Schizosaccharomyces pombe: one gene and its partner. Changing the gene in region 1 together with any one later gene gives a genetic interaction. Each region holds a gene or a part of one and is shown on either strand. Other genes may lie near its edges. The genes, in order: xrc4 and rga3.

What was found.
Region 2: mutations in xrc4 (region 1) and rga3 together harm fitness more than expected from each alone (negative genetic interaction), as found in Schizosaccharomyces pombe (one large-scale study listed by BioGRID).

The regions. Positions count from the first base shown.
Region 1 is NC_003424.3:3,277,436-3,283,366, reverse strand, and holds xrc4 (protein Xrc4), read left to right. Parts: upstream 1-3,327; 5' UTR 3,328-3,381; coding exon 3,382-3,502; exon of another isoform or gene 3,503-3,547; coding exon 3,548-3,684; exon of another isoform or gene 3,685-3,827; coding exon 3,828-3,947; exon of another isoform or gene 3,948-3,999; coding exon 4,000-4,416; 3' UTR 4,417-4,530; downstream 4,531-5,931. Other genes in the region: DNA polymerase alpha accessory factor Mcl1, read left to right, coding at 1-172; SPOM_SPAPB1E7.01C (uncharacterized protein), read left to right, coding at 662-1,153; SPOM_SPAC652.01 (BC10 family protein ), read right to left, coding at 1,564-1,783, 1,853-1,959; protein Ebp1, read left to right, coding at 5,220-5,931. UniProt on the Schizosaccharomyces pombe protein: Involved in double-strand break repair via non-homologous end joining (NHEJ); the repair of a double-strand break in DNA in which the two broken ends are rejoined with little or no sequence complementarity.
Region 2 is NC_003424.3:5,121,882-5,131,897, forward strand, and holds rga3 (Rho-type GTPase-activating protein Rga3), read right to left. Parts: upstream 7,153-10,016; 5' UTR 6,958-7,152; coding exon 4,048-6,957; 3' UTR 3,352-4,047; coding exon of another isoform or gene 2,899-3,351; 3' UTR 2,733-2,898; coding exon of another isoform or gene 2,511-2,732; 3' UTR 1,447-2,510; downstream 1-1,446. Other genes in the region: SPOM_SPAC29A4.22 (uncharacterized protein), read left to right, coding at 2,511-2,732; protein mug108, read left to right, coding at 2,899-3,351; RNA polymerase I upstream activation factor complex subunit Rrn5, read right to left, coding at 8,174-9,844. UniProt on the Schizosaccharomyces pombe protein: GTPase-activating protein for Rho-type proteins.

The DNA of each region.
Region 1 (5,931 bases):
CTTGTTGCAACTTATTCAAAAGGCTTGTCTCGAGGAAAGAATCGAACGTGTCTATGAATTGACAAAAACTTTGAGAAGGACAACAAGTATTGCTGCTGCTCAAAAGATTGCGCTCCACCATTCCCTTACAAATGTTGCTGAAAAAATTGGTAATCTACTATCTAACGTCTAAACCCTCACGTCTTAATTTTTATGTAACATTATTTTTTGCATATTAGTAGCTTGAGCTAATCAAAAGGGGTTTGAAGCAAAGCTATGCAGAAGTTTTGTCACGATCTTGCTCCTTTCTAAATTCATTTATATAAGCATCTAGCACTTTGATTTTTTTCTCATTTTTGTATTTAATAAACACATTTCATTTTGTTTACCATATAACCTCTATGTTTATATGTCAGTATATTCGGCATATATTTCGAGTCTATTTAGAAATTGCACAGGGGTACAAAAAATTGATTCATAAGAAAAGGTGGAAACATTTTTTAAAATGACAAAGAGTCACAAAGGAATTTGTATTCTTTTCCTTTCTGAAATGAAATAAAATCTAATGTAGAAACTGCAAAGCTCAGTGCCTTAGGGTGCGTTACAGTTCGTAAAGTTGCAGACACTAAGTGCAGTACAACTTTGTAAAGTGCCAAGCTGCAAACGAAAACACAATTTTAGCATGGAACAAAAAGTGAGTGCGGATGTGTTATTGAATAAATATCAAACATCCATAAGCATCACAAAAAACTTAATCAATTCGTGGTTGGGAAACGAAAATACATCTGTCAGTAGCGATGAAAAAAATGACGATCCACCGTTACAAGCTAGGCCGCCACGGTTAGGGTTGGGTGCTAGTAGAAAAGACCAGTCAGAAAACAGCTGGGTTACTTCCAAAAATGAGAAATTGAAAAGCCTGCCACCGGCATTAAAGAAGAAGATTGAAAGACAGTTGCAGAAGAAGAAGGAAGCTGAAAAAATTGAAGGCGGCAAAAACCACGACAATTTAAAGCGAAAATTGAATAAAGTAGGCGATGAATTGAACGAGCAACAGTCTGATACTGATGATGATGATGATGATTCAAAGGCTCGCATTACTAGCCGATCGAAAAGAGCTAACGCCCAAAGTTCTGGCTTTGATATTTATAAAAAACTTGGGAAGAAAAAAAGGTGAACTTGAAAGAAAAGACATACATAAAATATTTGCATAAAAGGTTTGACTTCTGATTCATTTTGATCAAGAGATTAGCCTCAAGGAAATGGACATCCTATGAACCCATAAATAAGCAGCACTGGAGTATTTATGGCATTGCTATTGGTTGACGTGCATGAAGTTGAATCGAAATTTATTTTTCTGTGAAAAAATTTACGATCCTTAATCACATTTAGTGTTTACATTGGATGGGTCTTAATTTGGGTGCCGTGTTTACCTCTTTTCAATCAGGAGGGTTTTTTTTTTGTTTAGTCGGTATGTTAAGTAAATAAATTTTAGATAGGGACAGTTGGTAATATGAAAAGGCACACCTATTTTTTATGAATCAAGCTCAAGCGATTCAATTTTGTAGTGAAAGACTGACTGCACTATTATAATTTAATAGTGGCATCTAACCAAGGAATGTGAATGCTTTCCTTACCCGCTAGCCACCGAATCCATGAAAGTCGAACCAACCTGTAGCCGGCTTCTTTTAATTCCGTAGGGAATGCTTTTGTGTCGAAAATATTTCGATTGAATGAAAAAAAGGTTGAATCACTCCACAGAGTGCGTGTATTAATCAACAATCCCAGTATAATCATGCAATATGGACTGAAGCCTGTTAGTCAAAATCTCGTATGGAATGGACGGCTTGTTTATCAAACTGGTTGTTGAACTTACCATGGATATTTCCGAGCAATCATGGACAGCATAAAGATCGGATAGAAGAAGTATGGAGCAGCATTAGCTACTAAAAGCATTGGAATAAAATATCGTAAACATAGCATTTTGTACCAAGTTTGGTAAAGCAACAAGTTTTTGAAGGATGTAATTTTACACTATTAACGCCATTTGGTCACGTAACAATCCATTAAGACGATATGCCGTTTTGTGAAACCGAAGCGATAACTCGGAATTCAAAGATTTCGTAAGCGCTAAATATCGTTAATTAGATAAAAGTTGTAGATCCAGCGATCCTTTGGTATTGCAATGTTCAGTATTGTTTACAACTTCAGAAGCATATAAAAACTCTTTCGACTTAGATTACAATTAAGATTTCAAAACTTTTATAAATTACTGCAAGTTGATTGACGCACTGGTTGGGTTGACATTGATTGAGTGAATTGACAAGCTTCACCATCGATATCCGTCACACATACTTGGGTCATATAAAGTGTTTATTGCATATAGTATTTAAAAATTTCATTTAAAACTTCAACTGGTTCATCTTTTTACATACGCCTTGTATATCCATATTGTAAAGTCAGTTTACTAGTTGAATCAATAACGCATTCTAGTGCACTTAAAACACATTTGCTAAATAGAGAAAAAAGATTAAATATGCTGAATTTTTTGACGAGCTTGGGTTTAGATTTACTAAAAAAACAGGATTAGCTTTTCTTTAAACTCTACCATTTGATTTGTTTTTGCGGTTAATTGATTTTCAAGTCGCTTTAGGAAGAAAATATGGTTTACGGACTCAGTCTTCGCAATCAATTTTAGGTTGTTTCGGTGTATCTTATATATTTTTTTTACGATCATTAATGTTTATTCGTAAGGTTGCAATGTACCTAATAACCAGTGGTCTCTGTGCAAAGCTCTAAAGCCTTGACAGAGCATAAACCTTTACATTTATGTAAAAACCTCAGTTTTATATCTCGATGTAGTTTTGAATCTCGAAGAGAAAAAATGATATTATAAACAAGGCCTTGTTAACCAACACATATTGATGAAAGCATTTTTTTTGAAATCACCTTAGTTTAATTGACTTTAAAAAACTTTCAATAACTTGTAGTAGTCATCATCTAATTGCATTGCGAATTTCTTCTTGCTAACTACTTTAATTTGAAATTCTTTTTTTTTAACAAACATGGTATAAACATTTGCGCTGATTCTTATCCAATATTCTCGTATGGAAACCTCTTATATTATACTAAACGATTTGTTATATCACCGAATCAGCAATTTTTCAATCAGAAAGATTCTTTTCTTTCAATGAAAAAAATCTAAAAAAAAAACAATTTTCAAGATAGTGTTTCTTAGTAACCTAAAATTTTAAACTCATTCGGCTTCCAATTTATCAGCTGCGCACACTAAAACATTAGCAGTCAACAAGTTGGATTATCAAGTTTCTTATTACGTTTCCCTGCAAACTTGCACTGAGACCGCCTTGATGTTTCACATCAAATTTTGAGCTCAGGAAACAACTCATGAAATTTTTTTTATCACTGAAAGATTTTAAAGGAGAAAAATTCGTCCTACGCTCAGAATTGGATGAAAGCAGTGCTTTCTTGTGCGCAATTAGCCCAACCTGTAGATACGTCTTAAGGGGTATAGAAAGATAGTGTGTAAAACGTTCTTTTACTAATTTTCCAGATGAAATACCTTGGAAACGATTGCAACGGAACGTAACCTCAGAATCATTAACCGATGAACTTATCGTGGATCTGTTGTGCGGCAGATCCGAATCAAAGCACACATTGCAATTAGTGGTTTTAGAGAATTTATGTAGGGTATGTTTATTGCAATACTGTAGTAGTTAATGAATTGCTGATTGTGTGATGACTTTCAAACCAAGGAATTTTTTTGTTCGTCGCATCTACCCCATTTTGCCAGTCGTTTTTGAGCTGATTAATTAAATATGCTAACAATTTAGATTTATATCAACTACGTTGATCCTTTCCCTTTACGTATTGCCTGGTTTGAATTAGAACAACAAGCATTGAAAGACCATGAACATTTTGATGTACTGTGGGAGTGCAGCCATTCGATAAAGGTATGAAAAAAACTTTACATTCTTTCTCTTTTGCTGATTATTTGAAATTTAGGACCTTGCCCTTGCTAGTATGGCTCAACAAAAAAACGAGCTTCAAAAGCTTATGGCTTATACAGAGCAACTTCAAGAAGAATGTAAGTCTAGGGAACGAAAGCTTATAATGAAATTTGCAGATATGATTAAAAATGCAAGAAATAACGAGGATAATGAAGACAACCACCATATTAATTATGAGGATGAATCTGATGTCGGGACAGACGAGCAAAAGCAGCAAGAGGGAGTCAATTCTTCCGCAGTCTCTGATACTGACGAATCTGCAGTTTCTGATGAATTTATGCAGATAAAAGAAGAATTTCCAATGAAAGCATTGAGCGCTTCACCAACTGCAGACGCTTCTCCCGAGTCAGCAGGTGAAGATGATTCACATAGGCGATCGTCCCACGAAAGTAGCGAAACAGTTTCTGAGTAGCTTCGGAAGGAATGATAATATGATACATTACGCTTCAAGTTAAACTACCCGAAATGCCTCTCCATTCTTACACTTTTTTCAGTATTCAGGTCAACTTTATTCTCTTTAATTTCAAAACAATAATAAATTTACTTAAATTTAAATATTCACACGGAATCCTACTATAGGTAAAGCACTTGCAAGATAAATACAATATGTATAGTTGGTGAATTTTTATAAAGATGTCTTATAAGCCTAGCACTTCCTTCCTGTACAAAAGAATGAAGCATGTTTGCGATCGTGTTTACCATGCTATTATTTTCTGATCCACTTTTTCTTCAGCAAATTTACTATTTACATATATAATTTGTTACTCAAGGTTGGGCGCGTTCTGAAGTAACGTGTTTATTACTTGTCGACAATACGCTTCATAATTTCACCAAAATCCTATAACCAAGCCTGTTGTAATTTTATACTGGGATTTAGGCTTGAATATTCTTTTTTGACGGCATTTAGCAATTTTTGGCTTTGGATAAATGAATGCTTAGCTGTGTGGGCAAACGGGTTTTCGCTATTGGAAACGCAGTTACTAATTTGAATTTGCTAACATTCATACTGTTTTTAAATTAAATGCTGTGAAGATTTCTTTTCTTAAACTTTTCATATCTTTTCGAGTTACATGCTATCGGTAATTGCGCTAATTGACGCGAATTCTTAATATAATAGGCATTATTTGTTGTCTTCTAATCGAAATCTTTTAATTCCATAGCATATCTCTTTTTTAAGTAAATACTTTTATTTGAATAGTTTATACAGCGCATGCGATGAGCAACGACAGCAGTGATAATCAAATTCGTCGTCGGCATCATCCAGTACTGCCTAAGGGTTCCTTTCAGAAAAAGGACGATTCTATCGTCTTAGAACAGGAATTATCTACTCCAAAACAAGTCAACCAAGCCCGTCCAAAGTTTCCATCTCCAATTACTCCTACTCTTCCTGAAATGCATCTTCCCGTAGGGAATTCAAAATTCCAAGCGGTATTGCCAAGCTTGATAAGCCCTACGCTTCCTCCTGGGTTTGGAATGGCAAGCGATGACTCTGAAGCATCGTTAGCAGAGAACGATTTACATCCCTTGGATAACGATTCTACACGTACTAGCAAAACGCTTAAAAATTCATCAGAGGTTTTAACCGCTTCCAAACTTACTGATGAAGGTAATTCTAAACCTTTGTTGGAGGAAGGGGAGGTAGCTGTCAGTTCTCCAATTCTCCTTGATTCAAAAGATGTAATAATGGGAGTCACTAAGAGCTCAAAAAATCTAGTTGAAGATGCTCACAAATCAAAGAAGGCCTCCACGAACAGTTCCATAAATAATATGGTATCTACTGTAAATTCTGAAAATTCTAATGTTAATAATGGATCCTCGTTGAATGGTAACACCAGCAGCAATCTCAAGAGAAAAGCCAATGTAACGTTAGGTGATTATAAGCGCTTAAAAGTAAAAAACAAGAATCCTTCTTCCCAAGAGCTGATCA
Region 2 (10,016 bases), 1.8 Mb from region 1:
GGTATGTCTATACAGCATCAAAAGGTTGAGAAAACGGTTTTTAACCGCCTGGTATTTGGATGATAATTTGTAAAATACGAGAAAAGGTATCGTAGAAAAGAAAATGCAAAATGAACGACAAGAGGTGGTTAAATATTAAATATGAATCGTGTGTATGGTCAAATGAAGGACTAAGCAGAGAAAAATTTTTGCACTCATGCAGATCCAGTTTCTTCTTATCATCAAAGATCCTGCACCTGCAGTATACAATCAATCCATCGTTACTGGAAACAATATAGGGATGAAAATCATGCAACTCCTTATTATTGACATTCACTAGTGATCACTATTTAATAAATAAACATTTAAAAATAATGGAAAGGGCAAACAAGAGTCTATGAGAAAGGGAAGAGAAGCATGGATGAGCTTTTCATTTTCCAAGTCAATGATGCAAAGATTTTTTACTGAACATAGGACGAACGAATGTAAAAATTACACAACGTTTAGATAGTCCATTATAGTGGTGTTATTAAGTTCTACAATGGTACTTTCAAAATAACGATTTCTAAGTATGAGTGCTAAGTGAATTAGCAAAATAAAGCACGAGTGTGGGAATTGTAATTTGGGAAACACCTTTTACTGCAGTAATTACAACTTTCTTCATAAATGAATGTACTGAAAAGAGGATACAAAGGAAGATGTTTGGAAGCATTAAATTTACTGACCTCAGTTATTTCAGGAAAGGAAAAGCAAGTTTTGATAACTGTAAAACAATAACATATAGTATACAAAGTAAAGTAGAAAAGGCGCTGCTCAATTAAGTAATTCCTACTGGACTTTCTCACGAGACAATGCTTTAAGCATACTTTATAATATAAATTGCAATGCTTTTATTAATTTTAATACAGATGAGCTAATCTATTTAAATGACTGTAATAGACTTTCACTTCAGTTTTTACTATGAATACATATATAATGTTTTGCAATGAAATAAAAAAGGCAAATAAATGTCAGCATTAGAAACAGTAAATAAAAATTAAAAATTGTTTAAAAAAAAAGCAAACGAAGGAATTCATGAATGTTTACAACAACCCCACGAAAAATTCACATGGAAAGTGACAAATTTGTGCATGGAACAACACAGTGAGCTCATCCACAGTGAATAAAAAGAAAGTCCAAATAAAGGTTATTTTCGTTATAATACAAAGATGTCGTAAAGAACGACGATCAAAGAAAAACAAGTGAGCAAAAAGGAAACTCTAAAAAAAAGAGAGAGAGAGAGAGAGAAACTCTCCGAGTATGTGTGTGTGTATGTTTGAGTCTCTTTTGTGTATGCGAGAAGAGAAAGACAGCAGGAAAATAAAGAAGAAATAGAAATAGAAATAAAAAGTCAAAACTATTTATTGTAGCTCAATGAAAGCCAGTATCTCACGCTGACCAAAAAAAAAATGAAAAGAGAAAGAGAGCAGAAAAAAAAAAAAAAAAGTTATTGAAAACAAGAAACAATCAAAACCATCTATTTCAAGATGACATGTATGACAAAGAACGCTAGTCAAAAAAAAGGCAATTCATACAAAGAAATAAAAAAAAAAAGAGAGAGAGAAAACAAAGGACTCCTATAATCATAAAGCAAGATTACCAACAATGGACAGAGATGGATAAAGAAAACCAATGGTGGAACAAAGACAAAAAAAAAAGAAAAAGTGGAACAAAACAAAATGCGAATCAAAGAAATTGAACAGAAAATTGAGCAAAAAAAACTTTAGTTCTGAGACAAACAAACAAAAATTTTCATCTTCTTTAACTTTTTCTTTCTTTTTTTTTTCTTTTTTCTTTTATGTTTTTATTTCTTCCATCCATTATTGATGTCTCGTTTGAATCCCTTTCTTTCACCCACCCCTCTCTTCCTGCAGTCTTTTTCGTCATGCCATTACCCCATCTTTTCAGGTAGCATCGACTCAGCCTTGTGACTCCAAGTGTGGGGAAGCGAAGGCGGAGAAAAAAGGGATTAGGAAGGGTGTCGATCATGACGCAATGCCATAACATCTCTGATGCACAACACCGTATTATAGACTGACTAAGCTTGCCGCGGAAATCAATTAATTGTCAAGAAGGCAGAAAAAAGAAAGAAAGAATATAAAACAACAACATAAAGCAAAAATAGAAAAGACATAAAAAAAAGACTGACCCTCTAAAGTCTTGTTTCCTTTTTGTTTTTCTCCTGGACAATTAAAACGACGCTTGTTTTCCGTGCCATACTTGAGACTGCGATACCACGGGATGAACAGCCTCTTCTAAACCAACCTGCCATTTTCTCTTCTTTTCCTTCATCCATCCATCAATCATACTTCGTCCTGCTTACTTGTGTGCTCCATTGCATTATCACCAAACCCTCCTCCTCCTCTTGGCCTGTTTCGTAAACCCACTTAACGGATCTCGCCGAGGTACACACTCACGGAAATATGCTATATGGGTGGTGGAAGTGAAGAGGTTGGCGCCACGATTGCAGTGGATGACGATGCTGGATAACAATGGAGTTGCGGGTGAAAGGACGAGTAAGGCACACTTACATTCAATGTAGCAACCCAATACGTATGACATTTGGCCACAGCAAGGAGATAAATAGAAGGTTGGGCACTAAGAGTGAAAATTCCATTCCCAAAATACAGTACATATATATTTCATCCTTCGTAATAACAAATACCGAATCGTATTCATATCCACCCTTATTGATCATCAGCGAGTCAAGCTAAATTACCCACCCACTGACAATCTAACAACAACAATAACAAAACAAACAATAACCAATTGAGTTGAAAATTGTTATTGACAGTCCAATCCAATCCAAATCCAAATCAATTTGAAATTGAATTTCATCCAATACTAATTGACTAATCGAATTTCTTCAAATCCACCGCAATGGCAAATCGTTTTACTTCTAGTGATCAAACTCAAGAAACCCATGGTCATCATGTTGACAAACACTCCTTCTCCGGTAGACAACGCCATCCTTCGATGGGCGTTCATTCATTCAACGAATACATGAATGAATATCCAGAGGCCGGACCTTTGGTCCAGGAAGAGGAGGATGACATGGAGAGCTCCAGCTACCATGCCACTCAGGAAGATATCGGCGACGATGACTCCAGGTCCGAGTCTACTCGCAACCGTTCCAGTCAACATACTGGCCGTGTTAATTTCTCGTCTCTTGGCGGTCTTGGCAGCATCTTTGGAGGAAAGAAATCACGCTCCAAGAGCGCTAATGGAACACAAAAGAAAAATGCAAACAATAACGAGGAACAACTTGATGAGGAAGAGCAAAACGATCCTTATCTTGATAGGGATATAAGCCTTTTAGGTAGTACTATTTGATTGCTTTTGTTTTTTTTTTCTTACTCCCTTGTAATTTTTATTTTTTGATTAGTCATACCCTGACTGACAATGTTGCAGATTACATTTAATTATGCCATCCATCCCCTTTCACGTTCACTGCCATTCATCCCTCACCATGTTCCCCATACCATTCTTTGAGATTTCGAGACATGATGGCACGACCGTAGTGTTTGTGTATGTATGTGTCTTTGATGAGTTGTTTATGTTGTGTTTATGTTCAAGTTATGAGAAACGAAATACTCGAACCAAATCGAGTTGAGTTCTGTTTAGTATCGTTAAAAAGAGTTTGTTTTCTTTTTTTTTTATCAAATTAGCATTATATTTTCCTTATTTTGCATCTCGCAATGCTTAATGGCAAATATCTTTATACAATCTCCATTTGCGTGCGTATTTATTTGTATCTGATGAGCGTGCGTGTGCTTGCCTGCTTGTCATAATGTACATCCTGTATTACCCAGTTTGAATAGTTCAGTCGTAAATGTAAGAGTGTTATGCTAATATCTTTGTTTTCCTTTTTTCATTAAAAAAAAGAGGTGTAAAAAAAGTCTCATTATTTCTTCGAAAAGTATTCCTTATTGAAGTTTGGAACACAAGTGGTTATTATTATCGTAAAGTTCCTTCTTCCCTAGAAAAATACAAGTTCCCCGATATTTTAATCATTATTCATAAAACAAGCTACAGATTATGAAGAATCTTATCCACGTTATCAAGCATAAACTGAAGAGCCGTACTCTTTTTGGTAGCATGCTGTAAATCAAACCGATTCACCTTATCTCGCATTAAAGTAGGTGCAAATACTGTAGAGACATTTTTCGAGTTCATCAAATTTTTCTCCGCGTGCTTGCATACACGACCCAAATGTGCAATCAAAAATCGAAATACGCTCAAATGTGCAGGATGAAGCGTTTTCATTACTTCCACTACCCGTTCAATTTTTTCCTCTTCCTTTTCGATTTTTTCCGCTTCCAACAACTCCTCGTATTGAGTGCCAGGTATAACTGGTTCCGGTAAGCGATGCAAATATGTTTTCAAAACCGACGTACAGGCAAACAAGTCAGAAGTCAAATGCTCCATTCGGATAGACCCGTTTTCAAATTCGTCGACTAACACTCGGACCTGAGAAGCACTGCCAGATATCCTATAAATACCTTCAACCTCCAATCCATGCGCATCCACGCAAGAAACGCACATAGCAATTACTTGAGGCAAAACCGACCCTTCAATTTTCAATTGATTTTCTAACGATCGTCCAAACATCGTTGGTGAAGGCCCAGGAGGAGGCATCCTCGTTGGCATTTCCGGCATCCATTTACTATTTTCACTTACAGTTTCACTCATTGTTTTCTCATGCTCCGACTCTGCAAACAGCCTTTTTAAACACCGCGAATGGCATGAAATTGAGCAATGAAAGCAGCGGAGTTCAGATCCCCATACGCTCTCCGAGCATATATAACACCTTGAGGGCTTGAATATGGCATTAACATGAAACACATGGTCACATTGAGTACGATCTTCATTTCCTACTACAGGATCGGCAGACTTTGATTTAGTATGCATTGATTTGAACGGGACTTTACGGTTTACATCTCTTGGTTGCAAATGCATACTTCCCTTTTTTCCCTTAATGTCAATTCTCGTAGTCACATTCAAATTTGGTGACAACGGACCAGGTCGACCTGATGACTGCCCAGAGTTGCTACTCACGGCAGTAAGTGGATTAATACTGCTGGTTGTATTTTTGGAAGATGTGGTAATAGTATGCTCCAAATTGGATTGGTTTTCAGGAGGTACTCTATGCTGAATTTGTTTTACCAAATTGTTGTTTAAGTCGGCCAACTCGAGATTTTTGGTATTTAGGTGTACAGATGCTTCAAGCGATTCATTTAAAATTTTTTGTACATTATTGTAATCGTCAAGCAGCTCATTTCTCCTTTCCAAAAGATTGTTTATTTCAGTGCCGTAACTCTCACGAAGCATTGCCATGTAAGCATTGGCGGCAGCCACCAAATCCTGATGTTTCGGATCTTTCAGCGTGGGATCATCTGTCACATCAGCAAACGAAAAAAACTTTTCACAAATTTCAAGTTTAGCCGAACGAACAGTATCCTTATCTTCCGTACGAATAAACTTAGAGTTGTCAAACGTAGAACTTGAGAGCCTTTCGGACAATTTTTTGGTAAGAGCAGTAAGATTTTCCAACTGTTCACGCAATTCTTCAACATCCGAATCTCGCTCTGATTGTGCTGGAGTTGAAGAATGATCGTTTGTCGGTAAATGGTACTCTCCATTAGATCCCAGCGAAGGAACGAGTGTTTGCTGAGAAGTCTCAGAAAGAGAATGCGAATGCCGAAAACTTTTATGGCCCCCGCCATTTGGTTTGGGAGAAAGAACCTGAGGCGGTGAAAGTAGCTGCGCAAAAGATGAAAGGTCAGATGGCTGAGAAGAGGTTTTTTTATGGGTTTGGACATTCGGTGAGCGGGTTCTCGGTGAATGCGTATCACTCGACCTGTAAGAGGGAGAAAAAGGCCGAAAGGGAGAGGTGGCATTGTGAAGAGAACGCATATGTCCATTCATGACAATTGGCTCTGCTCGGTCAGTCAATGACATGGTTTTATAAGGAGAAGCAGAGCCAGCAAAGTCGTCCAGGGCTTCCTCATTAATTGTGGGTTTTAAGCTGTCCGAGGAAGAGCTATCGTTAACAGGAGTAAAAGATTGTTTGTGAAACGTATGGAATCGATTCTTCCAAGTATTTTTGCTTAACGGAAATGTGGCTGTAGGAGACTCAATTTGTTGCTGCTTGTTAACTTTTTGTAACGGAGATATAGAAGGTGAAATAGGAAAGAAAGAATCGTCATACTTCATCGGCGATTCAAAACTCGTAAACGAGGAAAAACTTCGATTTTTGGCACTAGGCAGCAGCGAATCTGCAGAATTAGACGCAAGATTACTATCCTGTCCATCGTTCGGCACATTACCCCCTTCTGCCTGACTCATGTTAGTCGGTGTTTCGCTAACTAAGCGGTCTCTGCTTCCACCAAAAGGTGATAATGGTGGCTTTTGAGGAGACATAATTTCAATGCTTAAAGACTTATTAGATTCCACTGAAGACTTTGTCTCTGTGGGCTTAATCGTGACATCAACCTCAAAATTGTGATAATCAGCGCTCTCGTCTGAAGACCTGGAAGGGTGACGGACTTGTTTACAATCATTACAAAATATAGTCCTATTATCTCTTTTAAAGTTAGAGTCAATTATTTGCTTTCGGCAATCATGGCAACGAAAACACTCTCTGTGATAGGAGTCGTAGCCTGACATTAGGGCATAGTCCTTGATCCTCATACGACACGCTGTACAGGTATGGGCGCAAGAGCTACACACCGGTCGTCCATCAGAGGTTTGCACCAGCATTTGATCACTGTGCTCCAATCCTTTATCGCACTTCGTACAGCAGAAGCAATCCTTATGCCACATATGACCCCCAAACGAAATAGGTGTCTCTCTACGTTGAAATGCCTGTCCGCAGCGAAAGCATACTGTGCTTCCCTTGCTTGATGGAGATTTGGAAATACTTTTTCGAAATATCATCTTATCGTATATATGCTCTTCTTATTTCCTGCTAAACGTTATGAACTTCAATCTAGCGTCATGAATTTGGCTTTGTTGATTTTTATTTTCACAACGATTCCTTTGGGTACCTATTTTCATTCCTCAGCTTCCCATCAAGTAAATGAAAATATTCCCAATTTTATGATTGAAGTTCGAAACAATTGGTAAATGGCTAAGGAATAATTATTACTGCAGTTGTTGGCATCATTGCCCAGTGGAGCGGTGAGAACGGCAGTAGCGAGTCGTTCACTCTAATCCCTTAAAATTTGCATGCGTCGTACACATGGCACTATGGTCTTTGGCTTGCCTTGCCCTAGCCTAGCGAAACACTATGGAAATTATCGCCGTGTTCTACGATATGGTGCGTAAAATTGCCAAAAGTCACATGGTTTATTACGGGAGTTTAGACGAAACGGGTGTTATGAATAGCTATTAAATACGATTATAATATTACAGATAATTAATTTTAATGGGTTTGGCAGCGTTTCCGCTCTCTAGGCTTTTCTTTCCACTCAAAAATGGTGATATTTGTGAAAAGGGAAATTGCCGAAATTAGAAGGAAAAAGGAAAATGAACTGTTTTTCTGGCTTAAATAGCTTTACCTTTAGAAAAAACCCGCTAAAAAATGGTTAAAGATATATACATTCCTGATCAAAAAACACAGAGGACAAAAAAAAAGAAAAAATTTCGGTAGCAACAGGAGTAAACAGAAGGAGAGATGCTTTCTAGAGAAAAAAATTTTGTAGACGTTTGTAGCGTGAACGGTCGGATCGTCAAATAAAGGGACAAGAGAAAATGCTCGTTTCCAAAAAGTGTAGAATTTATAAAATGTGTATCTCAAATAGCGGGGTCGCTATAATTGATTAAGTAACTATTGCTTTTAAGAAGGAAGTAAAGGCTCCTAAAAAAAATTTTTATAGTTGTGGTGCGAATATTGGGACAATTATACGGAAGAAAGCAATCAGTTTTTAACAAAAAAAGTTTCAGAATATTGTGAACACTGGGACTCATCATTATAAATGGCAATAACTGATTGCTATAAAGAGGAAGTATTAAATTTTCTTTCTAGGAAAAAACAAACTTGGCAGAAAATGACGATAAAAAGAAAGGATTGCTATCCAACACAGAGGCAGCGCTAAAAAACAATTTATGTTTTTGTAAAGGCTTCAAGACTGTAGTTCGAAAATGAAGACATCTATTTTAAAGGGAGTGACAACTCCCAAGAAGAGACAGGTTTTGCAAGTTTCCTTTCAGGATCTTCTGTACTATTTGGAAGATTAGACAAATCATAGGATATTAACCCTACATATCCGCTTTCAAGTTCAGATACGACTTCAGCTGCACCCGGGGCATGGGAAACAACTGGATCCTTGTAATAATAACATATAGGTTGAACTTCATCATCACTATCGGAATGTTCGTCAATGTTGTGCAAGCTCTTGGAAGTTATTTTAAGAGTCGTAAACACGTCGGAACCTTTTAACTTGTCTTTCATTCGCTTTTGAGCCAGCAAATTACTAAGTGGTATAGTTTCAAAAAGAGCGTCCTCTGTCGACATCTCATCGGTTAAATGCAGCACATATTTCCAAACAAAGCTTTCGTAGTTTTTGGATTGAATCATGTCGTAGGCTTCGACGCTGTCATCAATTTCCACAAGACTTTCTTCTGCGACACTTTCATCCATGAACATTTGAGCATTATCAGGATACTCAGCCTGATTAACAGATTTCTTAAAACCATTGATGCTAGTCTCATCGGCGGGTACAGAATCTACCTTGCGCTTTACATCATGTTCTCCAAGGTTACCATCGCTTTCATCTGTCGAATGTTCCTTAGAATCAAAAAACATGGTGTTTTCGTTATTTTTTGTCTTCCGTGCTCTGACTCGTCCTAATTTCAGTTTTGATTGTCTTTCATCAGATTCCATTATGTGTATATAATTTTGAAATTTGAGACGTTTGTTTCTTTTGTAAACATTCATCTTTTGTCTAGTGGGTAAATACTTCCAAAATCCGGGTATATTGAATCGGTGAAATCGTAAAAATTTGCCTGACAGAACAACGTCTCTATTCTTGATAATAGGTTTTCTATGAAAGGCATTGTTAGCCTCTAGTTTCCTAAACCTAGACTCCGCCAAAAATATAGATGTTCCGATTAATTCCTTCAACTTGCTTTTAATGATTTGTAATAAAAACTCCGTAGCGCCAGCAGAAAGTGGATTGCTTGGAAAAGGCGCTTGTCGATCGAAATGATAAAACCGTTCAGAAATCTTTCTCATCTCATTTGTATCAAATAAATCCTCATTTGAGGTTTTGTTTTTGACACTTTGCGCATTATAGTGTGAAGTTTCAACCCCTGAGATATTCGAACCCTCAAGAAGTCTTTCCGCAATTTTTTCTTCCCAATCAATCCAATTCTGACTCATTTCCATTGCAATAGGTATATCTTCATATTTCAACAAACATTGACTGCGCACGGATGCGTCTACGTGATTACGAAGCCAACGTAGCTCATTCTCTAAGGCATTTATGTAACGCTCGATCTGCACAGCGCTTTTAGAAGGAATGGAGTAAGCTATCAAATCTAAATCTCTTTTCCCATTTCGAGCAACCGCTTGAAAAAACAGTTCTTTTTCTTCTGCACTCCAGTAAGTTCCATCCACACAAGAGCCACTAAGAACGCCCCATTGTTCTTCTTCCAAATCAAAGTCACGCTTATTTTCAGTCTCAACTTCGTATTGTTGAAGGACGTCTAGGTATCGTTCATCATGAGTCATGTACAATTGCTCACTTGAGCCAATGATAGATGCAGTGCTTAAAGGCGTTGACCCTTCACTCTCATTTAATCCGTTTATTGAAGAAGACATGTTATTATTGAGAACATGATCAACGCTAATGAAATAAAAGCTGTTGCAGTCTTCTTTTTAATATTTTTTTGTTTACCACATTACCAGACGTGGTTTGTGTTCTGACAAAGATCAAACTCGGTATTCTAGTGAATTTCGCTAATATACTAAAATCCAAAGGAATATATAAATG